4 linked regions of the Alligator mississippiensis genome follow. The protein of the gene in region 4 interacts with the protein of the main gene of each other region in a pairwise test. Links are inferred from orthologs where the notes say so. Each region holds a gene or a part of one and is shown on either strand. Other genes may lie near its edges.

Region 1 (7,812 bases), on a different chromosome or scaffold from region 4:
AGTTGTTCTGGATTTAAACATTTTCCTGCTGCATCCATAATGCAAACACTGACATGGAGTCCAGAAGTGGAGCTCTGTCCATGCTCACAGTAACATGTGAGCATGGGATGAAGACAAGCTGCAACAGTGGCAACCAACAAGTAAATTCAAGTAAAATTGTTGGAGACCTTCCCATCTGAACAGTATGCAATGTTTTGTACTTGGCTTTACCATTTTACCATTGTTTAAGAAAAACCCTTTAAGAGTCTCTAGGTGGGACATGTGTCTACTCTACAGTCCTTAGGAGGCTAAGGCAGGAGATGGGGGCACTGGAAGACTAAGATACTCAAACTAATCACTGGATCACAGTAAACTAATGCATCTATGCCTTACTTTTTAAACCACAAAAGACTGCAAGCCTGTGACATACAAACACTGAATAATGCTTAGAGAACGACAACAAATGGGGCAGAGGAGAAAAAACTATAGCAGGACCCAGCAAGTAGCTGAACTGGAGTCACTTGATTTTGTTCTTCAGCCCAGCTTTAAATGTCTTTAAGTATTTTTATCTTTTAAAGCTCTCCTCTTATCTCAGGATCAAGACTAGGATGCTGAACTACTTGATAGACTCCTGAAGAAGTGGTGAAATGACCCAGCCTTGCAGAAGCAACCTGTTTTACTCTGACAGACTATCTACCATAGATTTGATGGACGCTAGGGCTGGATGACCCCAGCAAGTTGAGCATCCAAGTGTTTCTTGAATGTATCCAGAGAACAGCATGAATTTTTCCTTTCTACTGTGCAAGTTCATAAATCCATAGATGATGCTGATATGATGAACTACTGTGACTTGCTAAAAACAATACTTACAAAAATATTTACATAGTACTTTGCATCTTTGAGGATCCAAGAGCCTTTGAACAAAGGCTTCTTCAAAAGCTTCCCCCAATGTCTTGTTGAAAATGAGTGGGACTTACTCTCCTCAACTGTTTGGACACATGAACAAGCCATTCATGCATTAGGTCCCTCTGGCAGGCAGTGCACAGAGAGGTCTGACACAGACAAATGCTATGTGGCACAGCAGTAGAGGACAGGAAACTTCTGGCCGGCAAGGCTAGGCCAGGCCAGGAGAAGAAGCCCCTTTTAAAGTTGACACAGAGCAGAACCCAGCTCCATTGCTTTAATCTTGGAGCTCATCAGCGTAAACTGAAGCAATCTGTCTGTCTTATCTTAGACGGATCAAGAGCCAAGGCAGCCAGGCAGGGTTTGGAGACCATTTAAACTGTTGCTTACAAGCAAATACAACCACTAGTAAACTCTCTCTAAACTACCCGTTCTTACTACTTTTTTCCTGCCCAAATAACATGTTCTAACAGTCTTTTCTACCCTAAAAAACTAAACATCATATACAAACTTTAAACTAAATATTTTGTAGCTCAACAATTCCCAAACTTTTTTCTTATTATGTACCCCCCACTTCCACATTTACCTACGTACCCCTACCAGCATATGTCTTATATTTTAACCCCTTCTGCCCATGATTTATAATAATGAAAATTAAATCCACCATTGTACAATTTCTCCTGCATACCCCCCACCCCAGGGCTGTTCTATGCACCCCCAGGGGTATGCACATCAGTTTGGGAACCCCAGTCTAGCTCAACAGGGAAGAGGGGGAGAAAAGTGAAGGGGGAAGGAGCTCTGCACAATTCAGACAAGTAATGAACTGCACACAGTGGGCAGCTGCCTACCTAAAACAAACGGAGATCAGACCCGAACCGCAGCGCTGTGACCTCCCAAAACAAAGGCAGCGTGCTCTGCAGAGCCCTGCTCCCTCCTGATCTTGCTGCTAGGACTCGGACCAGTCTGGACTCATCGGACCAGCGACTCTCGTCCTCACCCGCTTACTTGCAAATTTTATTTTCCTTCTCGCTTCGCTCCCAGTCCGACCTCCGAGTGTGCTGCAAAAAACCCCCCCAAAATCGCGCTGCCCGTGACAAACTTCATCCTGACTTAATTTCCTCCTCAAAAAACCTTTCCTTTCCTCCTCCTTTCCATCACCGTTATGCCCAGTGGGGCGGTTTCTAGCTTCGGCAGCTCCGATATGCAGACCCCAAAATGGGGTAGGGCTCATCTCCCCACACATCCCTAAGGGCCGATGCTGGCAAGAGTCCTGTGGTCTCCTGGAATAAAGGGGCTCACGGGCAAAAGTTTGTTGTAGGACGCTCAGCCACCTCTGCCTAACCGAAGCGGACGCATTTGGCCTCGGGCATCTACTATTTGGTGCATCGTGCACAATTATATAAATATAGCTGCATATGCATAGCTGTCGGGTGCTCTAGCTCATTTGTAACAGAAGTGGATGCATTTGGCCTCAGGCGTCCACTATTTTGTGCATCGTATATATAAACATAACAGTATGTATATGTGTAAGGTGCTCTCGGTCACCTCTGACAGAAGCGGCTGCATTTGGCCTCAGGCGGCTACTGTTTTGTGCATCGTATATATATATCGTTATATAACTATAACAGTGCATATATATTTGTAGGGTGCGCTCGGTCACCTCTGACAGACGTGGCTGCATTTGGCTGCAGGCGCCTGCCGTTTTGTGCCTCACAGACACATGTGCAAGCACGGTCCTGCGGGCAGCTGTGGGGTCATCTTTAGCCTTTGGCCTCCCATGTCTCCCATTGTGTGCCTCAGGGATGCGCGTGTGCGGCAGGGACACGAAGCCGTGGCGGTGGGAGGCCCAGAGGGGCCGAGTGTGCCGCACTCCTCTCCCGTTGCACACCCGCTGTGGCAGCCCCGTCGCTGCCCGCTGCCCCCCCCCCCCGCGGCCCGTGCCGGCAGGCGCGCACGAACAAAAGCGGGGCCGGGCCCCCCCTTACCTGAGCCGAGCAGGGCGGCCGCGGCCAGGAGCAGCAGCAGCAGCGGCGGCAGCGGGGGGCGGCGGCCCGGGGCCGGGGCCGGGGCCGGGGCCATGTCTGCGTCTGCGGCGCGAGGCTGTGGCGGGCGCTGCTGCGGCGTTGCCGGGCGGGCGGGCGGGGCGGGGCGGGGCGGGGCCTGGGCTGCGGGCCGGGCCGGATGAGCGGGGCCGGGGCCGGGGCCGGGACCGGGGGCGCGGGCGCGGCCGCCTGAGGTAATCCCGCGCCTCGCCTGGGGCCTTGCTGCTGCGGCGCGGGGCTCGGCTCGGCTCGGCCCGGCCGGGGGTGCGGGGGGAGGGGCGCCGGCCGCGCCGCGCCGCGCCGCGCCGCACGGCTTGTGGCGGCCCCGCGCCGGCGCGCCTGACACACGGGGGGGGCGCGCGCGTGTGTATGTGGGGGGGGGGGTGTGTGCGTGCGTGCTCGGTGTTGTGGGTGTGTGGGCGGGTGTACGTCATGTACACACCTGCCTGCGTACACGTGATTGATCTGTGTACAGATGGAGATACGCGTGTGTGATTTCAAAGGGCCATTGTTAGCAATAGATGAGCAGTGTGTGTATAGATGTGTGTGTGTGTGTACTTGTATGTGTGCGCGCGCTTGTGTGTGTCTATCTGTGTGCTTGTATGTGTCTATCTGTGTGTGTGTGTATGTGTGTGCATATATGTCTATGTGTATATAAGTATGTGTATATCTAGGTGTGTATGTAGGTGTGTGTAAGTGTATATGTATGTATATCAGATGTGTGTATGTGTGTGTATCTAGGTGTATATCTGGGGGGTGTATCTAGGTGTGTGTTTGTACGTGTATATATGTGTATATCTAGGTGTGTGTAGGTGTGCGTATGTGTATATATATGTGTATAGGTGTATGTATGTGTGTATGTGTATATATGTGTATATCAGGTGTGTATGTGTATCTAGGTGTGTGTATATATGTGTATATCTGTGTGTATCTAGGTGTGTATGTGTGTATATATGTGTATATCTAAGGGGGTGTATGTGTGTATGTAGGTGTGTGTATGTGTATATATGTATATATCTAGGTGTGTGTGTGTATGTGTGTGTATATATGTGTATCTAGGTGTATCTGGGGGGTGTATCTAGGTGTGTGTGTTTGTGTACGTGTATATATGTGTATATCTAGGTGTGTGTATGTGTGTATATATATGTATAGGTGTATGCATGTGTGTATGTGTATATATGTGTATATCAGGTGTGTATATGTAGATCTCAGTGTGTATCTAGGTATATATGTGTATAGGTGTGTGTATGTGTATATCTGTGTATATCTAGGTGTGTGTGTATGTGTATGTATATGTGTATATCTAAGTGTGTATAGGTGGGTGTATGTGTATATATATGTGTGTATCTGTATCTAGGTGGGTGTATGTGTGTATATATATGTGTGTATCTAGGTGTGTGGGTGTATGTGTATATATGTGTATAGGGGTGTGTGTGTGTGTGTAAAATAGGAGCATACTGGTGATCTATTCCTAACGATGACCCTTTGGTCACATATTGTATTCATATATACATACATTTTTTGCCCTCCATGTTCTTAAACACGGTGGCACACTCTTTGTCCACATCTCAGCATGCACCCAAAGGTGGGGCAAAGGGGTGTTTAGTTCCCCACTTTCCTCATAAACTCATCTCATAGGGCTGAAAAACATTCAGTTGTGGCAGTCTAAGTTAGAGTGCACATTGGCATTCAAGTACCAGAATATGCCTTTTATGCCCCAAAGTGTAGACTTAAGCCCCTGCATGGAAGACTTTGGGTAAAAGTAAATTTGCACCTTAAACTTTTTGTATCCCGTGTTGGAGATCTGGGATGCACAGTAATAGCTGTTTAGGACCAACTCCAGCACTCTGCAAATGTGGTTCTCCGTGGCTAGGCAGCCTGAAAAGGGTCAGATCTATGTTGACGGCTACAAAATATAGAATGACTCTTTTTTCTGGGATATTCATAAATCAAACAGTTCACCTCTGAAGCTCCTTCAGTAGTGTCTCAAGAACATCCTGTATCTGTACTGACTGTGGGTCTGAGGAAATACTGAAGATATAAGGTGGCACTGAAAGACAGCAACTTTAGCGATTCCACAACCTATTTATGTGGCTTTGGACTGGGAGGTAACACAGGAATTGTTCTGATCTGTTTCTCTTAGGCTTTTTTCTCAGACTATGTTGGCTGGATACAGCATTATCTGTGGCTTATGCAGATTAGTTTAACAAGGCTGTGGCATTTGCCATTTAAAGTTACCTTAGCTATAGGAAATGATTATGTCATTTATTTTAAAATGAGAGAACTGATCTCCTAGGGAGGGGGGGAAAGAGATTGCCTTGTACTTGCTGCATGTCAGCAGGTAGTAACCAAGTCATGTAACTTAATCTTATTTTTGATTATGTATTATGTGAACTCCTAGGAGTTTTCTAATGCAATTAATTTATTTCAGATCCTTATACTTCCAGGTCTCAGGCACAAGACATAGAGTGATTGTGTAAAATGAACTCATATACACACTATTGGAAAATTCTGGCTTGCAGTTGGTTAATCTTGCACTACACTAAAAAGAACCCCAAAACCAACTTGTCCCGCGTAGAACTATAATAGAATAATTGGGCCTCTGGGATCTAGCTCCTTTGCAGCCTTTGCAGAGATGCTGTAGATGTAGTCAAGAGTCAGGAATGTGGTCTTCATGAGCATACGTATGTGCTTCCTGATCTGACCCTATCTGCCCCCATGCACCCTTCTGCATAGTCTATTCCTAGCATTTTTCTAAGGTGGAAGGTCAAAATGTAGGTACATCTCAATAAGTTTCTTGCAGGGTTAATGTGCACCCACCTGGCAGCAGTGGGTACTGCTATTTCCTCCTTTGCTCAGTGCCATACCATGTTCTTAGATATTGGTCTGGTGGGATCAGCTGACACCCGAAAACTGAATATTAGAAACGAAAACTGATCATAAAATGCAATCCTGATTTCTTTTACCATTCAGTTGAATTCATATAATTGATTAAAAGATTATTTTCAACTAAACAGTGTTTCTGTTGTAGCTCTTTAGTGTGGAAGTCAGCTCTGCAGGAGGCCTCAGGAATGGCTGTTTTGCACAGCAGTTTGAGCGCAGTCTGGATGTCAGAGGCTCTGGGTTGCAGCTGTGATGCAGTATGTGGGTTTGCCTGAGTGTACAGCACAGAGAGCATACTTGGATAATGGTTCTGGGCACAAAATCTTTCTCTTGCTCTTTTAAAGGCCCGTCACATGGCTGCAGCTGGAATTTGAGTGGGACTTTATGAAACCAATGTGTAAACATTCCCATTCTGACTCACTTTTCAGAGGTGGCAGCGTGCAGGCATGAATAATGGCGCTCATTTCTGCTGGAAATACTAAATTCTGTCTTCCTTGGCTTGGAGATGGATGCGTTGATGTTCATAAGCCTGGGTAGTCAGTAGCTCAGATAGGGAGAGCTTTCTGCGCTGATATCTTAACATTGCTTTCGTTTAAAAGCCAAATGAAACAAATGCTTTAGAAATAATCTCAATCCAGGTGGAAAGACTCAAGTTTTGCATCCCACTCTCTGCTTCTTTTGATGTGGTCCTGGTTAACAGTGATTGAAAGGACTCGTCACCTAATGGGGTATTTTTAGTGGTGCAGGTGAACAGAGATGAATAATGTTAGACTCCCAACATGCATGTGTCCTCATTGCAGACATGATCACTGAAAGAAGCAGCCTCAGATGAAAAGGCTCTGGGCTGGATGGTTTGATAAAAATGCAGCTCGCACTCCCCTTGGAAAGCAGTCCCTCTGGAGAGACGGTGGGGGCCGGGGAGTCCGTGAAAATCTTGTGTATTGTGGTTCAGCAGAAGACTGCAAACTCTAAGGCTGGTCAATCCCAAACCTTTCAGGAACAGTAAATTGCTGTGGATTCAGTCAATTAGTTTCCATGTGGATCTTGTGGATCCTGTCTAGATCAGGTTGCATTGTGGAGCCTGCCCAGGAAAAGCTGTTAATGAAAGCGTGTGGGTTTCATGAAGGCAACGTAGTGCAGTGGTGTGTTTAGATTGTTAATTGCAAATTCTTCTCTAATGCTGCCGTAGCAGAAGGGGGGGGGAAATCCCGGTGACCCTTATTCAGCAGCAAGAAGGAAGTGAGGAGGAAATTGCAGAGAATACAGAGCAGCTCATGTTCAGCTGCTATGCAAGGCAGCTTATGCACGGATTCTCTGCCTGGTTTTCCTTCATCTGCTCCCCTTTTCTAATGAAAGAAAAGCTCAAGACAACGATCCCACTCAAGTTCAAACTAAATGAAATGAACAGGACAACATTTGTATTGCCTCAGCCTGTTTCCCCAGTAATCTCTCTGCATACTATTTGCATTTCAATAGCCGCCTAAGCTCCTAGTAATTATTGTGCAGTGGTTGGGTGGGGGTATAATGGCTATTGTACTGTATTAGAGTTCTGAGCGGATGAGAGCAGCATCAGCAGCAGCTGACATGACCTGCGACTGCTTGTTATTTGCCATGTTATCTGAGTCTAGAGCCGGCACCGTTGTTTGTGCTTTGATTCATAATTATGACAAAATAAATGAATTGAGCCAGTCGGTCGATAGGGAGCATGGAAGCAATGATGTGTTCCGGGGCCGGAGTGGAAGAGGGCAAGACAGAGCTGGACTGCGTGTTGGGAAGAGCACATTAACAATAATCAGGTGATGCCTAACTTGAATAATCACTCTGAAATAGAGGCTGGTGCTGACCTTGGACTGCCTCAACTCTGACTTAGACCCGTAAGATCTGCGGTCATGTGCAATCTGTTCCATGAGTTTTGAACCAGACCCTAAATGGTTAATGTCAAGAGTTAGGAGGAACACATGACTTTGGGCATGAGTGATGACTAGTCAGAGTCCCTGGTGTACTA
Region 2 (7,485 bases), on a different chromosome or scaffold from region 4:
TGAATTATTATTCATACACGAATTCTAGTTAATAAGCTCCAGGGGTAAAAATTTCCCCATAGGCAATGAATATGCCAGAGGCTCCTCTGTGCCCTCTAACCAATTTTTTCAGGGTGGCCAATCAGTTTTTAATTTTGACTTTAACAAGGCAACAAGCCCAATTCTGTTTCTTTCAGTCAGAGTAGCTGCACTCATTTCATAGGAGTAGCATGGAGCCCAGAGTGGACATAATTCTGGAAACCAGAATGGGCCAAATTATGTATTGGTTTAAATGGATGATATCCCTTTATGTCAGTGCAGCTGCACCCATTGACACCAGCAGAGAATTTCACTCTATCTAAAAAATAGAAGTAAAACAAGTGAAAAAATGATATTCATCATACAGAAATCACATGAGTGGAGTATAGCAACATATGAAAGTGTATCTACAGAGGCTCAGTCCTGCAAGGAACTGCCCACTTTTTCACTCCCACTGTGGTCAAAGACACTTATCTCACAGGAATAGGCTGTAAGGAGTATTAGCCTCTTCCTTCTCTGATGCAGTTGCATTAATGAATAAAGTACTGTAAAGGAGAAAAAAGGTAAAGATAGAGAACACTTCTCTTAATTGACCTATTTTGGCTCTTCACTTTTCCCATGGGCTTCTGGAAAACATCCTGTTGAGGTGCTGGTGATTCATGCTGACAGAGAACCCCGCATATAGCAGTGTGTTATTCACCGTGGTAAGTAGAAAATTACAGTGGATGTGTTTCCTTTGGTTCACTCATAGGTATTTCCACTCAGGTTATTTTTCATTGTAGTGTAACATGAAATAGCTTGACACAAAGAACTAATGAAAACAGCATCAGTTCCCCAGAACTGTTTTTCCCTTTTCTCTGACTGCTTCAGACAATCAGTCTGAATATCAAATACATCATGCAGTAATAATCTACAGGACTGATACCTATGAATATCAGTTTTACTGTTGGTTAGAGGATCTCTCTAAATCTGCTGTAGTTTTCCATTAAACAAAATAGAGAGAGCTCTGTATATTCTGTTTCAGAAAAGGCTTCAACCTCGGAAAAAGCTCTCAAGACACTAAAAAACCCAAACACTTACAATTTTCTGTTTAATAAAATCTATACTAGTAATCAAATAAAATTAATGTTTCTAGTGGAAAAAAATAATATGTTTAATGAAAAGTTACCAACTAATATATTTAATCAAATACTCTGTACATTTTCATTTGGCAGAAAGTTTATTGCATAATAATTTTCCATAATAAGTAGTAAATATCTCTAGCTTTTCTAGGGAAAAAGTCCACTAATAACCTCCCACTACTAGAGGTGATGAATTCAACCACTTACAATGCATACAGTGTATGCATCTTTACATTTTCTGTAAAATGTCTGAAATAAATTTGAATTGGATGGATATACCAAGGCAAAGTTTGCTTTGGAGTTCTACTATCATTTGATTCAAGTGAATGTTTTGTTTTTAGAAAAGAGATCATATACAATTCTCTCATTGTATTGCAGGCATTCTTTTGATTGAATCTGTTTCACTTCTAGTGTATTATTAAATGATGTATTTTGTTTTGAGGTTAAATCTCTGACATTAGGCTATAAAATTATTTTATTAAACATAATGCCTTATTTAGGGTAAAAGTGCTTTACCTTGATATTTCAGAACTTTAATTTTACAATTTGAGAAAAATGAAGTACATTTTAAAGATGAATGTCTTAAAAACCTATACACAGCATTCCATATTAGTCCTCTTAAAATACGCCATTTTTAAATGGTTGTTTCCCCGATAGATACATAATTGAGAGATCAATCTAGATTGGTCAAGGTGTTTGTATTCATTTGTGTTGTAGTATCTGTATAGTTTGTACCTGACAAACAGCAAAATTATTCCTTACCCAAATTCTTTTATATCAGATTAGGCAGTCACCATTTAAGAAAATGAGGAAAGCAAATTGTCAGTGTAATGCACACTATCAAAGGTAACACAGTGACAGAGGTTCTTTAGAAAAGAAGCAAAATAATAAAATGAATTCTATCGCTAAGGTTTCCATGGCAGCAGTAATATTTCTCCCCCAGTCCCTCACTGTAGATTCACATGGTTCTCTGATAAGAATGTAAAATTTCCTATAAAAAATTGTCATGAGAACTCTTTTCCTATGGAACTTACAAAGATTTCATGAGCTCTAGTGAGAATGGGAGTCTTCCCATAAGGAAAATATGGAAAGGCAACATGCCTTCTTTATTGTTAGCAGATTTACTTTCCTAGCAATTAAAACTATATGCACTAAATTAGCCTTCTTAAAGCTGGTCTAAATTTGTATTCCTATGGCAAGGAGTATAAATATTAATAATAAAGACTATTTTTAGGGTCTCATAAGCCGAACAGTTCCCAAATTATTAAAACAACTGTTTAGATGTGTAGAGGATTAATTGAATTGTATTTGTATCCAAGGCAACCCCTCCTCTTACACCCATAAAGCCTAAAGAATGATGTTGTAAACATGTCAGTGAACCACTAAGAGGGTGAAAGATTTGCAGACAGAAACATGATGCTTGTTAGCTTCATTGAACAAATGAATCTGGTACTACATTGTAAACATTAACTGCAGAATCATTCACTTACCCTCCCCCCCGCCCCTTACTCTCTATTTTTGGTTCTACCCTTTTAATTATTTTAAAATCCTATAACAATTAGAGAAAAGAATAAAAAGGAAGAGGAAAAACCTGCAGTCAGCCAGGCAGCACCATTTCAGTGCCAACTGAAGTGCATCAGGTTGTTATTTCAAATGGTTGCCCCGGTTGTGCTGTTTTCCTACAATTGTGTAGTCTTTAAAATGCTATGAACAGAAAAGATTACATTGAGCATCTCTCTGCACTATGATAAAAAAGCTGCTTTACCTGTGTGTCTTAGAGACTGCAGAGTGACAGCAAAGCACCTTCCTCCTTGTCTGTCTGCTCCCAGTTTGTGGAGTGTTTTCAGCACCAGGACAGCTCCCTCTGCTTATACCATGCATCACCTGACTCTGCACTGCCACATTGACGTCACCTTCGCCAGTCACAAACCACCAGCCCAACTGAGCTGGTGAGAGAATACTGGAGAAAAGAATAGTTTCAGCTATTCTGAGACAATTTTGTCTGTATGTTTATGCCACCTGTCTGCCTCTAGAGAACACTGCAACCCTGATAGCGTCCAAAACACTGAGAACCTTTGAATAACTGAGATGCTCAAATCTTGAAAATAAGTAGGGTGGGAAAAAAAAAACCCTTATTAAATCTTTTAAAGAAGTTCATATGCTGAGTACAAGAAATAGAAAGTACCTAGCTTCCTCTGGCTCTCAGCACCCACAAACACTTTAAGAATGCCCAGAAAAGCATTTAGCAATGTAAAATAAATAAATGCTTCACTTTCATAGGTGAAAGCCTTCCCCAGATATTTAGCTGTTAAAAGACCAGGCTCTGTTCAGAAAGAACCCACATAAATATTTCTAATTTCAGTAGGATTGGGAAGATGATGCAAGTGGAGACTATAAAGCATGTACTGTTGACCTAGGAGTAGGGTGATAACAAGGTAGGGCTCACAGGAAACAACAGGCCAAGATCCCTAAGGTGCAGTTTTATACTTGTCTCTTTCAGGATCCTGCCATCTAAAAGCACATCAAAAGTGCTGGGAAAGGCCATTACTGAACAACCCCAGCCTTTTAATGCCTTTGGGACAAATCCCACCCCTCAATCTGACATGGAAGATCCAATGGAGCAACCTCAGTGCCTGCAGGAGACTGGGGCAGGGTTGTGACCATCTATATTAATTCACTGCCCAAAACTAATGATCAAAAGTATGCAGGAGTGCAAATGTTACTGCATCCCATGCAGGCGGAAGAGCGGCTCTTTGCTGTGGCTCAGAGATGGAATGGAACTGCAGGAACAGCAGCGTTGTCCTATTTTTTTCCTCCTGGATTCAGGAGAAAGAGGAAGGTGTATGCAGGAGAGAATAAAGGTAATAGCAAGTGTTACTGTATCCCCATGTAAAAACTAGCATTTTATTTCAGTTTAAATTACATACTAGCTTTGTAAATGCTAGATCTTATACAGGTAGGCAACTAGGATAAATAAATATGGTTTGCTTGTAAGTCAGTGCAAGATATAAGCACATCACTAAAACCCATTTCTGTATGACAGTAAATTCCTTCTGCTTCCTTTTATTCCATAACTGTTATTTCACCTCAGCTAATAAAACAAGACCTTCTTTTCCCCCAAATTAAATCTTTCCTGACAATTCTGACCTGTTACAGCACAAAATTAAAAAATTAGAATGGCTGTACCTTCTAAACCAATAAATGTTACAGAATTAAATTGTCATGAGGAGAGCAAAAATCCTGACACAAGCACAGACCAGGCACCTCCTCACTATACTGGATGTAGCTGGAAAGGACCTCTGGAGCCCTTTCTCTTTCCACCTAACATAATGCTCCTAGTAAGATATAGGATAAGACTGTGTTTATCCCTTTCAGGAAAATGAAAATCTCTTCAGACTACCACTGTCCTGTAGGGTACCAACAATGGGCAAGGCAGAGGCGAAGGAGGGAGAGTTAGAGAGTTTTGAACAGTTGTTTCCAAAAACCAAGCCCAAGATAGCATGGTCTAGCATGTTGGGAGTCAGAAACACCTACGTTCTGTTGCCAGCTTACAAGACCTTTCACTGCTCTATGTCTGCTCCACTTATTCAGTTCATTTTGGCAGGGTCTCTCTCACACAGTGAATATGTACCGTCTGTAGCATGAGACAACCATCACTTTCTTAGTGCCTTAATCAGATGAGCAGAAAACAGTGTCAGGAAACATGTTTACTTGGCTGAGGGAAACCATATTTTCCAACACCAAAATATGTAACTGTTCCTGAAGTCTTAACTTCAGTCTGTTTCCCAGTTTGTACAAACGGGGATCACTAAAGGTCAGCTGGCTTAAAAATAAACTAAGATTCTATCAGTGCTGAAGTAATTTTCCCCCTACTATAATTTTAATGGCAACAAAAATAATCTACAACTTATTGCAGACATGGAGTTTCTAATAGAATATCTGCAGTTATCACATTTCAAAATTATTTCCTTCACCAACATAAATGTCTACAATATCTATTTCTGTGGGTAGAGGAGAGCTTTTCCTTCATCCAGAAAAAGTTTGTCACCTCAGATACAGAAATTCTAGAAAATATTTTCAATTTTAATCTATTTAACCTCCATTTAGTCTTATATTGGAGTGCTTATTTCTTCACAGTTGTATGTAAATATCTCAGACCTCAACAAACTTGAAATGCAATAAAAGGCTCAGAATTTATTATCTGAGTCAAACAGAAAAAAAAAATGTATAAGAGAAAAGTTAGGCTTTGCTAAGTTTCAAGTTGTAAGCACAGTCCTGGAAGACCAAAGAAGTCAAAGTAAAGCAAGAGTCTGAGGAGTCCTAATCACTGGACTGAATTCCACATTCAACAGAATCAAATCGGTCCAAAACCAGTCTGACTGACACGCAGCGCTGATCAGCTAGTGCTCATTCCACAGGGACATTCAGTGCGGCTCTGCTTTCCCAGGCTCGCTTTATGGTGGTACATGCTCATGCTGAAGCCATGTGCACCACACCACTTCTTAGTGGATTTTTTGACACTGGGATCTCCTGATGTAAAAAAAGCCTGCCATCCTGCAAATCAGCAGCATGGTGAATGAATGCATACATGTTGCCTGTGATTAGCGGCACCACAAACATGCTCGTGGGGACATGCCCCTAGAGTGCAACCCTTGGACAATAGATTTTACTCTATTCTGCCTTTCAGAGAGGAACCATGCAGCTCTTTGGGTTTCTGAGCTGCAGTCTTCCCGTTCTTCAGCTGTTGAAAAAAAGGCAAGAGTTCAAATCACATTCAGCACCTATAAAACCATTCCCTCTGGGAACATGTGGCCAGAGGCTGATTAAAGTGACTCAAAACCAGCTTCTCTATGATGAAGTTTTATTAATATACTCAGGAGGTAGAGAAGCAAATTAGAAGACAGTTTATGTGCTTGTGTCACACCTAAATTATATGCCTGGGTCTTAACAAAATTTGCATGTATTAATAAGTTCTATTCAACCCTGTTCCCCAAAAAACATGACTTTAGGTCTGAGAAAGACAAACAGAACACGCAGCAATCTCTGCCACTCTCTGTCTTCCTCCAACACTCTCTTTTTCCCCCTGCTTTTCCCAACCAGCTGCTTTCCACTTGCCTCCATGCACTCTGCAGGGTCTTCAATAGTTTTAATATTATTTTGCTCTTAAAACCTAGCAAAAATAAACTCGTTATCTTAGCTGAGGTGGACAGGTAGGTATTTGTTAATTAACAGCCCCCCACATCATTTCCCTTAGGGCTCTTAGAGATATCTTATCTCTGTTAATGTTTCAATTCCTAAAAAGCTCAAAGCAAACAGGAAAATGTATTCATGCAAAAAATATTCATCCCCCTGACTCCACATAACCATTTAGTTCAGAATTCTGCTCAAAGAGAATAATTTCTGCAGTAATCCTTTGCTGTGTTAACTTGGAAACCAGGAAACCTAGGAGGGCCCCAAAGCAAGATCCTGCAATACATAATAGATTAGCCAAGAAGCGTCAACATGGCATAAGTTTTGTAGCACCTGGTCTCCCCCCATAAGTTTGCCTCAGAAGATGAGCAGACAATTAATGTGCATGGAAAACACTAAAACCCAGAGAAGATATTAAAAAAGACAGTTTGCCATTAATGAGAAAAGTTCAGTGACCCCTAAATTGTAAGATTATTTTTATTTTACATACTGTAGTGAGAGAGAATTGGACAGGTGTTGAGGCAAAGTGTAATTTATATGTTGCTACAGGAAAACTTCAACAGGAGACTATTTTAATACAGATAAATACTAGGATTATCACTCTTAATAGTGTTACAGTAGCACCAAGGGCCTCAGAGATCAGGTCCACTGCTATCTTGAGCTATACAGTGACTTGCCCCAGGTTACACAGCAAGCCATTGGCAGAGCTGGGAACGAATGCCAGGCCTCCTAACCTTAGGTCCTGTGCTTCATCCATTAGATCATTCATGCTGTCTCTTAGGCCCAATTCATTGTCGCCTTGTGGTTCCTTTGTTTCAATTACGAAGTCCAGCCAACACAGAACTGTCAAGATTGTAGAACCTGGATGTATTTCATATTTCTGTTTCATATGCCCCTCAGATTCTGAACTCACTGAACTAAAGTTGCTTCCTGTTACACAGTAGTGGCCGAGATCACAGTCTGGCCCTCTGGAATTTAGTCTTTGCTAATGCAAGCCTGTCTGCCTCAGGCTGCTTCACATTTGGGGATGGCTCTGCCAAAGCATCTCAGTTTGTCCAATAGAGCTTTTTTTGACAGCATTTGCACCTTGTGTTAATGATAGCGTACCAAATCTTCATCTGATGCAAATGAGAACAAATCCATTGAAGGGAAGTCA
Region 3 (7,026 bases), on a different chromosome or scaffold from region 4:
CCCTGCAAAGCCAAAAAGAGCCAGGCACTTTAGCCAGTCTCAAGTCCGGAGGGCTGTGCCTTTACTTCCAGGATCCCAAAGCCGCCTGCTTTCTGGAGCCAGGGCAGGTTTGTAAAGGGTTAATTAGGACAAGAGGCACTGCCAGGGCTACCAGTACTGGCAGCAGGGGGAGCTTTGGATGCCACAAACCTGGGCAGCTGTTGACCTGGAAGCCACACAGGAATGCCCCACTCAAACAGTGGTGACTGACGGGTGAAGGGACATGCCGGGGTCACGCTGCCAGGAAGTGGCAGACTCAGACCCCAGGAGTCTGGGTTCACAAGCTCTCTCAAATGGCCCGGCCAGAGGGTTTTACAGCTGGGTTTGTTCTCAGCCCACTCCGCTCTCCCTGCTGGAGTCTTGGCACTGCGAGCGACCATGTCACGGGCAGAGGGAACTGGGCCAGCACAAGCCCCCGGCACATACCAGCACCGAGAGGTCGTCCAGCTGGAAGATGTCATCGGGGACGCCCGAGTTCTTCAGGCTGTTTCCTCGGGCCACGATCGCCTGCAAAGGGGAGAGAGAGCTTGGGGCAGAGGTCACCCAACAGCTGCAGGGAGGAGAAGAGGCAGGAGGAGGGATCCTAGGGGTGGGGGGCAGGGAGCAGTGGGGATTTTGTCCAGCTCCTGCCAGCCTGTGGGCTCCATCCCGCCAGCTGCTCAGTCCTGCAGAACCAGCAAGTACCTCCAGCCTCTGATCCCCCCTGGGCAGGACAGGGCCCCAGGCTGGGTCAACCTCAGTGGCCCCCAGGGACTTTCCAGCCCAGAGGGGGGCTCTGAGTGTACCCTCGATTGAGTCCATGGCTGCAGAATGGAGCCCCGATGTGCACCAGGCCACCCTGCGAGTCAGTACGAAGACACGGGACAGAACCCAGGAGTCCTGGGACCGCCTTGCATCCGGGCAGCAGGGTGGGGGTGCAGGGTGGCCCCGGTACTTCCCTAGGGCAGCTTCCAGGGTGGCTTTGGGAACAACTCGTTCCAAGAGACCAGCCTGGAGGGAAACCTTAAAGGCTCTAATGGCGCTTGCACATGTGCTCTCTGGTCTCCATAGCAGGCTGGTGGGAAGCCAGAGTCCCTCTCCCCTCCGGGAAGGCAGTGCTAGCATCCTCAGGACAAACCCCCATCAACCAGAAGCCTGCAGCAGTCCTGGACCCAGCCCAAGCCAACCCCAACCGCACCCTCCAGCCACAGGCGGGAGCTGGCCGGCTGCATCCCAGCACAGCAGGCAGCTCCACAAGTGACCGAAGGCCCAGAGCCACGTCGCCGGCCCTGGAAAGATGATGGGCCCTGCGGGCTTCACACGCTCCCTCCCTGCAGTGGGCGCAGCCTAGCAATCTGGCTTTGGAGCACCCGACCCCAGCACAGACTGGGCCAGAGCAGCCCTTAGGCGTGGGGGAGGTCTGGCACCACCCAGCCAGGGGAGCTGCTCAGCAAGATGCCAAGAAAGGTGAGGGCTGAGGATTATAGCCCTACGCCCCCACAAGCATCTTCATGGAGCGAGGGATTCAGCTTCTCCAGCAGGGAACCGATCCAAGACAGCACCGCACGTGGGCACAGTGGCCTGGTCCAGCCTCAGCCCAGCCGGGGGCCTGGGACACTCAGCTCCACCTTTCCCTGCTGCGTGGCACCTGCTGGATGTCACTGCAGACCAGGCCAGCGAGCTCCCTAGTCCTGGCTGTGCTGAAGGGGCTTGTGCATGGCCGAAGGTGAGGCTGCCCACGTAGCTGGACACCAAGCCCCTAGCGCCTGCACGGGGGGCGTTGGGGCACAAAGGGCACTTACCCGAAGGCAGGGGAGGCCAGAGAGCTCTCCATGCAGTGTGGTCAGGCTGTTGTGGCTCACAGACAGGTGCTCCTGTGTGGAAGCCAGAGAGGCAGTGAGAAGAGCCAGGGACACAGTGAGACTTGCACACCATCAGCTCCGAAGAAGCCCCCTCGAAAGTCAACCCACATGCTCCGGTGAGCCTGGGTCAGGTCCCAGGCACCTTTCACAGCTGCAGCTGCAGCTGGGGTCAGATCCTGCCATCAGCATAGGAGCAGGTGCTGGCTCCTCCTGGCCAGCCCTTTTGCCAGCCTTATGGTGCTGCCCCAGGCACCAGCTGGGTGAGCTGTGTCAGTGCCAGGGGCCCAACTTGGCTGGGTGGCCCCCCTCTCAGCTGACACTGGAAAGCAAAGGGGCGGTTGTGCACACGTGTGTGCACATGCCAGGACACTGATCGGGCAGCCCCCACTGCCTCCCACCTGCCTTCCCACTCACCTTCTGCCAGGCCCATGCCTTGGCTCTCAAATGCCCGTGTCTCAAGCTCCTGTCCTTACTCGAAGCTCCCTGCACCGCCAGCCCTAAGGGGAGCCACCCTGTGGGAGCGTGCCCGGCATCCAGGCACCGTCCTTACCAGCTTCTGGAGTGCAGAGAGCTCCTCCGGGAGGTAGCACAGGCCCGTGCGGTTCAGCTTCAGCCATCGCAGGCTGGTCATACATTTCACGTGCTCTGGGAAATAGCCGCCCTGGGAGAGATGCGAGGAAGCATTTGTGGCAGAGGAGTGGGTCCCAGATCCCTCGTCTGCCCAGGATAGCCTCCTGCATGAAGGTGAGTGCCCCAACCCGGCCCTCTCGCTGTTGTGAGGCTGACCAGGGGTCTTGCCCACATAGACAAGGCTGCAGGCAGCTCCACCTGTGCACGGGGCCTTGTCGGCCACAGAAGCAGGGCTCCCTGTGCCTTGAACCAGCAGAGCCGTGCGTCATCCTGCCCAGCTAAGCAGCCCAGGTCTGGCAGTAGCTGCCTTCCCTTCTAGGGCTCTCAGCTGCTGGGGCACGGCCTGCAGCTCCCGGAGACACAGGACTGGGAGGGGGCACGCAGGTGAGTCCAGTGCCCTACACAAAGCATCCATCCCGGTTCCTCCTGCCCACCCCAGCACTGCTCCGTGTGCCCCCAGGAGACAGCAGGACGGACCAGGAGCCACGTACACCCTCCCACTGGGTGCTGCGTGCCCAAGGAGGATAATCATGGGGAAGCGACACCCAGCACAGCAGCACTCAGTCCGGGAAGAGGCAAAAGTCATATGAAACTCGTCCCAGAGATGATGCCGGCCCCAAAAATGCATCCCAGGAGAACGGCCAGCCCCATCCGGGATGGCAAAGGACACAGCCAGGCCTGCACACCCTCCAGGGTCACAAGGGAGATGGCTTTTCAGATGGAAGAGACTCGCCCGCCTCCGGACGCCCCAGAAGGAGAGGTGGGGGTGGCAGGGTGGCACGGTGGCCCATCCCAACCCTTCCGCTCCCCGTCCGGACCAGGTCTGCGGGTGTGGCGGGGACAGCCCGAGGCCCCCAGTCCCAGCAGCTGCAGGGCACAGCCACCCTGCACCCACCCCCGCAGACCCCAGCGCGGTGGCACTGCTGTGGGACCTGGGTCTCGCCCCGCTCCCTTGGCCGGGGAGGCACCAGCTGCGCAGGGGGACGAGCCAGGGGAGAGTCCGGCCTGACCTCACCCTCCGGCACCCAAATATAGCACCCGGGTGGGTCCTCCCCCGCCGGCCTGCTCATCGCACCGTGACGGGCACCGGCTGGGCTCGGCCCTCGATGGCAGGCAGGGCAGCCGCGAGGGAGGATGAGCGCCGCGGTACCTTGAAGTCGTTGCCGCTGAGATCCACGCCGCGGATGAAGGGGAGCACGCCCGTGGCCGCCATGGCTCCGCCGGCCCGCGACAGCCGTCGCCCGCAGGAAGCGGGGCCCGCCCGCCCTTAACCCCTTCGCCGCCGCGTCTCGGTGCGGACCCGCGCGCCGGGGCTGGAGGCTTTCGTTCCGCGCCGGGGCTGGAGGGGCGAGATCCCGACCCCGATCCCGATCCGCCGCCAGACAGCGCCGAGCACAGCGAGCAACCCGCGCCGCTCCTCCCGCTGAAATAGGGGCGCTGCGGCTTTAAGGCCAGGAGCCGCCGGGTTCCTGCCCCCTTTGTGACGCACGTTCCATTCCGGAACGTTGCAACGCGGCCGCGCTCGCTCATTGGCTGCCGCCGCTACATTGTTGCCAGCGCCGGGGTCGTGCTGTGGAGGTGCTGGTTTGTCCCGTGGACGGGCCCTGCCGGGGCTCAGAGGGAAGGTGAGTGCGGCCGGGGCGGCCCGCGGGTGGGGATGGTGACTCGAGGGTTGGGCTGAGCCCTTGGTCTTCAGTGGGGAGGCCGTCCCGTCCCTTCCCTTCCCCGGGCGGGACTGGGCTCCGCGTCCCCTCCGCTCCGGCCCGGAGCTGAGGTCAGGCGGGGAAGGAGGGAGCTCCAGTACTGCCCCTGCTCGGAGCGGAAATGGGGGGAAGCAGTTGCTTCTTGCTTCCCTGAGCCGGTCGGCCTCCCCCGCCTGCTCCTGCCCTGCCCGCTGGCTTGCTCTGCATGGAAACATCAGTCCGTGCGGCTGTGCCCGGCCTGGGGTCGAGCCTCCTTCCTGCAGTCGGGGGAGGCCCTGGGCCTGGTGCAGGGCACTGCTGTGAACACATGCCGCAGCACCATCCTGGTCGGGGCGTCCGCTCGTATAAGAGACCCGTCCTGGAAGGGGCTAGTTTCTGTCCCTTAATGAGCACACCTCAAGGAGTGATAGCTTTTCAGAGCCCTGTTGATCCTGGGATCTAGTGTTTTTGCCCTTCTGGGGCCTCACGAGCTTTCCGCTGCTGTGCGTTCCAGCTTCCAGGCTGTTTCAGAGATGCACCCAGCACAGGCCTGCTCGGCGCTGGGTTGCTGCTTAGCTGCAAGGCGTACATGGTACCAGGGCACCTGTCTTGGCTATAATAGGCAAACTGCCCCAAACCAACAGGAATCTGGCACTGAGCTCCTAATACCCTCTAATCCCCACCTCCACTGTTGTTTGCAGCTTTTCTCTTCCCATGGCGACATTGCTTGCAAGCAAAGCGGAGTCATATTTGGGGGGTGACTCCCATGCTGCATCTGTGAGTCATTCCTAAGGTTTCCAACCCTGTCGGGGCTCGAGCTGTGACATTCGCAGAGGGACCTGAAGTGGCTCTGGGCTGGGGGGTAGAAACGCTGTGCTCTGCCCCTACAACTGGGAAAGGAGAGGACTGCCGTGGAGAAGGGGCTTTGGGGGTTAGAACAAACTGCCACTTGATGCTGCCTGTAGAGCCCGGGGCCTGGCTTGCTTTGCTGGCTGCAGGAAGTAAGATGCCTACACAAATGATCTGGAACGGACCTTGCCCCGCATTGAAGTTTCACAATCTCCACACCGATCTTAAAGGAAGGCCGTGTACGCTGTGGTTGTTGATGGCTAATGATACTCCGTATTTACCCAGCACCTTGTCTACAGTTCATAAATATTCCACCTTCCCCGGACTATTGCATGTTTGTCTCTTCTGCAAAACAAGGAAGTGCTCGCAAGGGCTGTGACTTGTCCCACTGACTCACAAGTGCCTGGGCTATGTTGGAGCCTGGACTCCCGACATCCCACTTTACTACCACAGACAGGCCAAGCTCTTATCTGAGAGCTGGAGCTGAACCCTGTCTTGAATTCAGTTAATTCGCAGCAATGAGAGTCTGAAAATCCGGTTGCACTAGATACCTCTCTTTCCTTAGAGAACTGAGGAAGATGTATCTTTCATAGATTGCAGAGTCGGAAGAGACCACAATGGATCATCGTGTCCGACCCCCTGTCCAGGCAGGAAAGAGGACCGAGGTCAGATGGCCCCATCCAGATGACTATCTAGCCTCCTCTTGAAGCCTTCCAAGCTAGGTGATGGCACCACCTCTCTTGGAGATCCTGGCCACCTTTACTGTGAAAAATTTCTTCCTAATATCTAACCTAAATCCACTCTCAACTAGTTTACACCTGTTATTCCTAGTCAGTCCCTGGGGTGCCCTAGTAAACAGTGCATCACCTATTCCCCGTTGACCTCCCCTAATAAATTTATAGGCGGCCACAAGATCTCCCCTCAGCCGTCTCTTGTGAAGGCTGAAGAGATTCGGCTCTCTCAACCTCCCCCCCAGGGTCTTTCCCGAAGGCCACTAATCATGCGAGTGGCCCTCCTTTGGACCCTCTCGAGATTCCCCGTGTCCCTCTTGAAGTGCGGCGCCCAAAACTGGACACAGTACTCCAACTGCGGCCTGACCAGTGTCGCATAGAGGAGGAGCATCACCTCCTTTGATCTATTAGTCATGCACCTGCTAATGCAAGACAAGGTGCAATTGGCCTTGTTGATGGCCTCGTTACACTTGGAGTCAATTATGACTCCAAGATCCCTCTCTGCCTCCCAGCTGCTGAGAAGGACACTCCCCAACCTATAGGTGTGCCGGGGGTTCCTCCTTCCCAGGTGGAGTACCTTACATTTATCTTTATTAAATTGCATCCTATTTCTCTCTGCCCATTGATCCAACCTGTCCAGGTCGGCCTGAATCTGCTCCCTGCCCTCCTCTTTGTGCCCCTTTCCTGCTGTTGCACTACCAGGTGCATGGATTCAGTAACCTGTGAAGGCCTTGGTGTTCCTGTTGTAATATATCTTTTTACAGTGTCTGTAGTGTTGATAAGTAGGGCTGTCATAGCAAACGGTATGTTGGTTGTGGAGGCATGAAGGGGAGTGGGAGAGACTGAGTCTAAGAAGGCAGGAAGGAAGAGTGTGTGTGTGGGGGGGGTGGGGAGTGGCTGGTGATGGAGGTGGAATGATGTAGAGCCAAGAAAGGGAGTATGAGGAACTAACAGGCCTAAGGTTAGGTGTAATGCATGTCCACTTATGGACTGAAGCACATTATACCAGGCTCAGGAGCAGACAGACATGCGGTTATCTCAGGGTGGCCCATGCAGTAGATGACTGCTACAGGTCCTCAGTGCTAGCCCGTTTGAAATCTCTAGCAAATGGCTAGTTGTGGACAGACTCAGACAAACTCTAAACTGGTGTAGCTTGCTCTTGGCTTGACTCTTCCAGGGGTCATCCTCCATCAGGTTGGATGATGTTATTCCAGTTCAAGGAGTTGTCATTTGTCCTCTACAGTGGGTTATACT
Region 4 (7,736 bases):
ACAATGACAATCCGACTTGGACATTATTTGAAAATTCTACCACAGTGACAGTAACACTTTACACATCAATCAAGCAGCACAAAACAGACTCAGCATTGTACAGGCTTTTCTAAGGAGCCAAAGCATTTACTTGGATTCCAACTGCTCTACTCTAAAGCAAACAACCCAGTGAACTCTATTTAAAGGGACAATCAATGTCTCAAATTACTAACCATTTCCTTCATTACAAGGTGATTTGAAAAGCTATTTAGGTACGTCTACATGACAATGGAGTACCATGCAGAAACACCTATGAAAGAACAAGCTTATGTACTAGAGCCTACACTGCACCTGGCAGCTAGATAAGAAATTTACCCTTTCTGGTTCAAAGAGGTACCACGTATGACCTCAACTTGCATAGGACTACACAGGCACTCCAGACATACCTATAAGCTACTAAATAAGTTCAGGACCGTTATCCATTTTTGGAAGAGGATAATGCCAATAACTTGCTTGCATTAGTCAAATAAGCCACTGTTCACAACAGATACAGACGATTTGATGCTCAAAATTTATTTGGTTCTGTCTGTACATTGAAATTTTCACTGCTTATGCAAATGAAACCATTGTTGATACTGTTAACAATAGGTCAGTTTCATAGTGTAGGCGTAGCTACTAATACCTAAGATACAGGAACTGCAGGCCTTAAATCCCTGTAGGGGTTAGAAGTTGCCTCCATTTTTGTATAGGAATCAGAAGTATGAGGGCTGGAAGTCAGAGGTGAAGTCTTCTTGGCTTCATTACAATCAGTGGGAGTTTTTTCCACAGACTTCAACAGAGCCATGATTTAACTCAAGGTCTCCTCAACAGGGTAAGCTTATTTTAACCACCTTGCTTATCGTATCTGCATTTTAAGTGGGCACACAAATATTCTGTAAATCGCTTTGTGAAAGCATCTCATGTCTCTGTTTAAAAAAAAAAAAAAAAAAGCCTAGCAATTTCAATTTTTAGACAGCTGTCAGAGGAAACACTTCACCTGTTTTAAAGCTTCACATTTAAGAAATGCAATTCAAAATTAAATGTCTAGCTTAAATGTCTTTGGAACTATTAATGGCAAAAGTCACATCTAAGTGCATTTCTCTTCCCAGTTAGTTATAAATACAAATGTCAGTGTATCCATTTGCAACTGGAAAGCTGTTTGAGCAAACCCTAATCTAGTGCCTGCAAGACCACAGGGACATTTTTTAAATTATTTCTTAAAAGGCTTTTAGGTCATCAGCTTATACTTAATTGCATAGTGTCATTTTTACCCAGTAAGGAGCTTTAAATTAAGGAGGAACATCCATCAGTTTTTGTGAAATGTGCATCTATATTCCCCAACCATCTCTAAACAGATCAGATGTGATGCTGTACAGGTTTGACAAAAACAGCAGAAATAAAACCAGTCAGTTTCAGGGATACTACTCAGGTCTCTGTGAGCAGCGAGGAAATGCAAAGAACAATGTCCATTTTACACTGCTGTTTCTTGGAATGGCAGTGAGCAGCAGCAAAGGCAGATGTGCTTGAGTTTTATACTGGGGAGAAAAGCCAGAAAACATGCTTGCAACAAACTAACAGAGAACACCCAACCCTGCCACAGCTCCATGGTAGCATGGTGGAGCCTAGAGATGTTTCCCCTGCTCAGCAGTAAAACAGTGAATTTTACAATTTCAGACATGTTTAAGCCAAAAGCTGAGATAAGAGACTGAATCCCAAAAGGGCTCAGGGACGATACCCTGGAAGAAATTCCAGCATCCTCCCCCTTCCTGACAGCTAGCAAGAGGGAAAGTCTAGCCAGGGGGCTGGCCCTGCATCTTGCTACTGGAACCCCCATCTTGTTTTGGCAGCCTTGTCCTAAAAGGTGGCTTTGTTCTTTAGCTACCAGGCAGCTGGCACGTCAGTCTCTGCATGTAGACACTGGCCATGTACACAGGCAGCAGGCTGGGCAGGGTGGCCCCTTACAGACTAACTCACAGGCACAAGCCAAAGGCTACATACAGCCTGCTATGTCAGATGCTATGGAGAAACAGGCAGCAGTACCACGTGGGAAGAATACAGCTCATTAGGCCACAGAAAAGGGAGCTATGACTTCAACAGGAACGCTTCCAGCTAGGCTGAAAAACTTGAATGCATTTCAACACAGGTGCAAGACCAGAGCAGGCTGTCCTTGGCCTTGGAGCCCTATTTTTTTTTTTTTTTGGGGGGGGAGAGGGGGGCGGCGGTGTTCAGCCAGACAGCTCTGGCCCTAAACCCACCTCTTTCGCTAGTTCCCTGCTCTTTTCCCACCACTGCCAGCCTGATCTGCCCCGGAGGACAGCAAAGCAGTGGCACAGGCTGCCTAAAGAATTTGTGGAGTTGCCATCCCTGGAGACCTTTAACACAAAGCCCTGGCTGGCGCCACACAGATGGGAACGCCCTGCTCAGAGCAAGGAGCTAGACTAGACCTCCACAGACCCTCCTTTTCTACCATCTCATGGACTCGCACTGGGTCCGGACTGGGGTGGACAGGTCAGGTCCCCAAGGGGGGTGTGTGGGGGATGATTCAGCGGGTGCCACTCACCCCAGCCGGCCCCGCACAGGCCGGCGGCGCCCGGAAGCGGGGGGGGGGGGGAAGGCCGCGCGCTCCGCCCGCCCCGAAGCCGCTGGGAGCTCCGAGGCGACGGGGAGACGCCCCGCGGCCCTGGACGAGAAGGGGCGCCCTCTCCCCCGCTCCCTCCTCACCTGCCGGACGCTGCTGGTCTCGGACACGGCGAACTCCTCCTTCTCTTTGGGCGTCTTCACGGTGACTTTAATGATTCGCGGCTCGGCGGCGGGGGAGCCCGGGGGGCTGCGGGCCGCGGGGGGCCCCTCTCCACTGTCTGCCATGGCGGCGGGGAACCCGGCTCGGGACACGCTCCCTCGCGCCGCGCCGCCGGAAGCCCTCGCGGCCGGAGGGTTCAACGGAAACAGCCCGGCGGAGCGTGGCGCGCGGTGATGACGTCGCCCCGCGGGGAAGTTACTAGAAGGGGGTGTCTCCCGGCTTGGCGTTGGAGACGCGGCTCAGCCACGCTGCGCATGCGCAGCAAAGTGACTCTGCATTGTGCGTGCGCGGTAGGGCCGGGCGGGCAGTGCGCATGCGTGGGACCGAAACGGGGTGGTGTTCCGGGCTGTGAAGAGGGGGGTACTTCCGGCTACTGCCGGGTCACTCGCTGCGCGTGCGCATGTAACACTAGGGTAAAGGGTGCGTAGCAGTCCTGACGCGCATGCGCTGTGGCTGGTTGGGTTCGGCCGCCGGTCGTGTAGCTTGCTCTTCCAGCTGCGCGTGACCTGAGCACGGGCTCAGGCGGGGGGTTAAGGCTCAGCGCAGCTTGCCCCCTCCCCCCAAAAGTGAGGACGGGCTACAATATCAATTCAGGAACAGCACACTACTAATACAACACCCCCCACCCACTCAGTTGCTTTACCCTCGTTTTGAGAATATGCTTGCTGGTGCTGATCACCCCACAAGGCAAGGGACAGAAGTTACACATAAACGGGTTGAAGTGATCAGAAGCTGGTTTAAACCTATAACAGAACAGAAGTTCAGTGCACACAGACCAGTTTCAAAATGGCTGAAACCAGTTTGAGAGAAACCTGGTTGAATGTAGTATCAGCCTGAACTGATTTAGGTCAAACTAGTTTATAGAATTTCTGTCCCAGACCCCTTCCTGGGTTAAGTTAAACCAGCCTCCCAGCATGCTCTGCAGCCCTGGGTGGTGCTGTACTATGCGCTGTGCTCCAGAGAGCAGGGCTGGCCCTGCCCTTCTGCTCTCTAGCTGGAGTAGGGGTGGGGCTATGGCCAGATGCCAGCCTGCCATGGCCCCCTGAGGCAAAGGGGGCAGGGAGGAGGTTTATTTCCCCCACCCACCAGGGGACCACAGCTGGGGTCTGCCTGGCCAGGTGCAAGCAGCAGAGGCAGTAGCTGGGTTGGGCCATGCTGCAGTCTCTTGGTGGGAGAGGGGATGGAGTGGGGAATAAACTTCCTCCCTGCCCACTTGGCCTTAGGAGACCATGCTAGGTTTGCGTCTGGCCACACCCCAGGCAGCAGCGGGGAAGCTGTAGATGCAGCACAGCCCTGTGCACTAGGGGCAGGGCCCTACCCCAGGGCTTCCCAGCTGTTGTCTGCACACCTGGTAGCTGACCGCAGTTCGGCAGTGGTGTTGGCACCTACCTGTACGGCCAGGGCAGGCACCCAACAGTGATGGCGGCAGCAGGGAAGCCACAGGGAACCTGGAGCCTGGTACACGGGGCTGTGCTGTGCCACCACTGGATAAGGGAACAGTGAGCACAGTGCGCCCAGTTTGGTGCCCAGGGGACACAGGTCATAGTGCTGGGGCTCAGCAGGTGAGCTCCTGCCATGCACAGCATAGCAAAGACTGTGGCCGTCTCAGGCGCTGCGCTCCAGTGGGTAGAAGGGGCCACTGGACAGGAGCTTTCCTTTATGGAACTTTGCTCCTAGGTCCCTCTCTCCCCACAATTAGGCCTTTGCTTCTGGGCTGCCCCAAGTAAAATTAGGCACCAGCAGCTGGGAAGGTGCAGTGGGATCACCTGCTAGCTGGGACAAGGGCTTTGGGGGTTCCAGGCCATGCTGAGCCATGAGCAGAAGGGAACAAGAGGGGTAGACCCTGGCTGGGGTCCCTGCAGGCCAGGCTGGGGGTTTAAACCCCTGTCCAACGAACTCAGTCTGCTGAGGCCTGGCCACACCTGTCTCAGTTCAGCTTCCCCCTAGCCTGAAAGGAAGATCTCTGGCTTCTAGCCTGAGCCATCACAGGCATGTGCCTGCATTTCCAGAATCAAAACTGAACCTCTGGTCACTTGCAAATCAGTTCAATCTACATTGGTTAGACTAACCTGCAAATATTGAATCAATTCAGGCTCTGGCTTTTTGAATGTCTGTCCCTAGCCTAGATCACACTGCACCCAGTCCTTGCAACACAACCTAAAAAAACACTGACTCCTGCTTCCATTGCTGTGTCAAGAACACTACAATGCCCTGAAAGCATCCGTTCCTCACCACAAGCTGATTCCTGCACTGTGTAACACCTATTTCAACCAGCCATTATTCCATGGGTGCGTCCAGACAAGCATGGACATGTGGTACATGGCACCTAAGACCCATCTCCGGTGCCACACACTGCACATGTAGGCATTCCCCATGCTGCTACTTTGCAGTGCAGGGAGGAGGGGGGGGGTTGACCCCAGGGGAGCCTAGGGTCAAAATAACCCACACCAAAAAAAGCAGTGTGTTGCACATGGCCGCAGCGCATGCTGCCCACAATTGGAACCTGGCTGGCCAGTGCCACACTTGGGCTGCCAGCTAGGTTTCCAGCTGCAGGAGTGCCACAGCTGCTGTTCCCTATATCCCCCAGAACCCCAGGTAAGGCATCTGGGGCCAGCAATTATGCTGGCCCCAGCCTCTCCTACCCCACCCAAAGTAACCTGCCACATGCCAGAGCATTCCTGGCACAGGTGTTTCCTGGGGATAAGCACCTGCAGTGCAAGGCATTCAAATGTAAGCTGTCTCATGGAGATACCAAATTCAGATGGAAGTAACTACTGGCAACTGACAAATGAACTCAATGGATGACCAAACTATACACAAGTAAAGAACTGTGGAAGAATTTTATCACTCTGAAATTAGGCCCAGGTGTCGGTACTGCTCAAATTGAAGTCAATCTTATCTTATTACCTCCACCACCCCAGCACATTGCCAGCATTAAATTATACAGGTTGTGAACTGCTAGTGGGGCTCCCATAAATGGAAGGAGAAAAAATTATTGGGAGGGCTGAGTGCATCTGTGCACCACACCCCTGCACCCAGCAGGCAAGTGTGCAGGAAGGGCGGGGGGGAGGGGGGGGAAGATGCAGATTGAGGTCCCTGCGGTGAGGGAGGGAATGGGGCAGAGGCAGGGGTAGGGACTGCGGTGAATGGGGCCCTGTGGGACAATCAGAGCCCAGGCGTTTCATCCAGGGGTGCAGGGGGGGCTCCTGCTGCTGTGTGCACCCTGGCAGAGGCCTGGGGGGCATGTGCCCCCCCCCATCTGTTCACGAGACAGAGACAGCTCTGGGCCCTGCTACAGCTGCTCCAGGGGCAGCACGCGTGTCCTGCCACTGGGCGAGCTGGGGGCACGGTGCAGCCCAGCAGCGGCAGGCGCGTAGCGTCCTACCACTCCTGGGGCAGCTGTAGTGGGGCCCAGAGCCTGAGCACACAACGACAGCCACCTCTGCCTCACCTGTAGGTTGGGGGGACATGTGCCCCTCCCCCCCCAGGCCTCAGTCAGGGTGCACACAGCAGCAGAAGCTGCCCCCCCGCCCGGACAAGCTTCCCAAGCTCCGATTGTCCCAACACCCAGCCTGGCCAGGGCCCCATTTACCACAGCCCATGCCCCTGCCTCTGCCCCACTCTCTCCCTTACCATGGGAACCTCGATCTGCCTCCCCATGCCCCTTCCTCCTAACAGAATAGACTGATGATATTTGCCTGTTCTCAGGGCTGGCCCACAATGTTTTGGGGCCCCCTGATGCAAAGAAGCTGGCAGTAGCATGGTGGGGGGGGGGGGAAGAGAGCTGGTGGCAAGCAGCTGAAGAAGCCAACGGCAGTGTCAGGGGCAGGGGCTGGCTGCGGGGCCCCCTGCAGCTGCAGGTTCTATTGGATAAGATGAGTCGGCCTGCCTGCTATGCTGGGCAGCCAGGGATTCATATGCCAGGCTGCAATCCTGGCTGTGTGCATGCCCCTCCCCACCCCTACTGCAGCCACCTGAAGCCTGCGGCCAGGCAGCCCTGCGGCTTTACCTGCTGCCCCGCATTTGGCGGGGGCTGAATCCCTGACCTTCTGCCACCTGTGGGGGTGCCCTGCCTCAGTGAGAAGGCACAGAAAAAATTAGAATCTGCTGCAGTCCATCTCTCTCTCTCACACAACCTTTCCTTCAATTAGCAGGTGTTAGTGCAGCCTCAGTATTACAACTATTCCATGCCTGGGACCAAAGACTTCCTGTGCTCCCTTTTTCATGTGAATTCTCCTACTGGTCAACCCAACTATTTATGTAAGCACTCGGGTGAAGATGTTCCCCATAGGAGCCAATCCTGGTGTCTCATAATCAAACCTCTGTAACTGTAGTCAGTAGTCCTTTGCCCCTACAGGTCTGGACATCAAGCGAGAAATGCAATCTGTTTTATAAGCATTTAAATAAGAGTTATTAATAAAAAAGCTGTGGAAACAAGGGACTATATTTTGATTATGTGACCCAAAACTCTGTTGCATTTTAACAATGTTAAGGACATTGCAGTAATATCTGTATTATACTGCAGGTATAGAGCAAAAAATATTGCAAGTCTGTTGTACACAGGACATGCTGGAATTTCTAAACCCACTGCTATTCTTACATGAGGTATAACTAATCAAAATAATACAATATTTTTTGTCAACAAGCAGTTAAAATATCTCATGAAGTGTATGCAAGTGAAAAGCTGTTTTTCTAAAAAAATGCACTTTAAGAAGAGGTGGTAAAAGGAAAATATTTGTTTTTATGAGCTAAAGGAAAAATTTCTTGTCAACATCTTATTTAGGTTAAGTTCCAATTTTAAGTTTTCATTAAAGAGTTCCAAAATTTAAATAATGTTTTCATTTGTAATGGGAAGTAAACCTGTTTTTAAAATATTTTAGTAGTAATACATTCCACAATTAATATTAAAAAGTATTTA

Evidence for each region.
Region 1: the proteins of UBQLN1 (region 4) and CD99L2 interact in binary tests that used the Homo sapiens proteins (3 or more experiments, as listed by UniProt). The two-hybrid records come from large-scale screens. The link is inferred for Alligator mississippiensis from reciprocal best matches to the Homo sapiens genes UBQLN1 and CD99L2.
Region 2: the proteins of UBQLN1 (region 4) and SCG2 interact in binary tests that used the Homo sapiens proteins (3 or more experiments, as listed by UniProt). The two-hybrid records come from large-scale screens. The link is inferred for Alligator mississippiensis from reciprocal best matches to the Homo sapiens genes UBQLN1 and SCG2.
Region 3: the proteins of UBQLN1 (region 4) and MIEF2 interact in binary tests that used the Homo sapiens proteins (3 or more experiments, as listed by UniProt). The two-hybrid records come from large-scale screens. The link is inferred for Alligator mississippiensis from reciprocal best matches to the Homo sapiens genes UBQLN1 and MIEF2.

Annotation. Positions count from the first base shown.
Region 1 is NC_081831.1:74,498,174-74,505,985, reverse strand, and holds the start of CD99L2 (CD99 antigen-like protein 2), read right to left. Parts: upstream 3,019-7,812; 5' UTR 2,962-3,018; coding exon 2,868-2,961; intron 1-2,867. UniProt on the Homo sapiens protein: Plays a role in a late step of leukocyte extravasation helping cells to overcome the endothelial basement membrane. Acts at the same site as, but independently of, PECAM1.
Region 2 is NC_081830.1:51,202,331-51,209,815, forward strand, and holds the start of SCG2 (secretogranin-2), read right to left. Parts: upstream 3,020-7,485; 5' UTR 2,905-3,019; intron 1-2,904. UniProt on the Homo sapiens protein: Neuroendocrine protein of the granin family that regulates the biogenesis of secretory granules.
Region 3 is NC_081836.1:55,062,847-55,069,872, forward strand, and holds the start of MIEF2 (mitochondrial dynamics protein MID49), read left to right. Parts: upstream 1-4,022; 5' UTR 4,023-4,135; intron 4,136-4,179; exon of another isoform or gene 4,180-5,763; intron 5,764-7,026. Other genes in the region: FLII (protein flightless-1 homolog), read right to left, coding at 466-546, 1,821-1,892, 2,431-2,541, 3,661-3,723. UniProt on the Homo sapiens protein: Mitochondrial outer membrane protein involved in the regulation of mitochondrial organization.
Region 4 is NC_081826.1:202,971,529-202,979,264, forward strand, and holds the start of UBQLN1 (ubiquilin-1), read right to left. Parts: upstream 3,020-7,736; 5' UTR 2,884-3,019; coding exon 2,740-2,883; intron 1-2,739. UniProt on the Homo sapiens protein: Plays an important role in the regulation of different protein degradation mechanisms and pathways including ubiquitin-proteasome system (UPS), autophagy and endoplasmic reticulum-associated protein degradation (ERAD) pathway.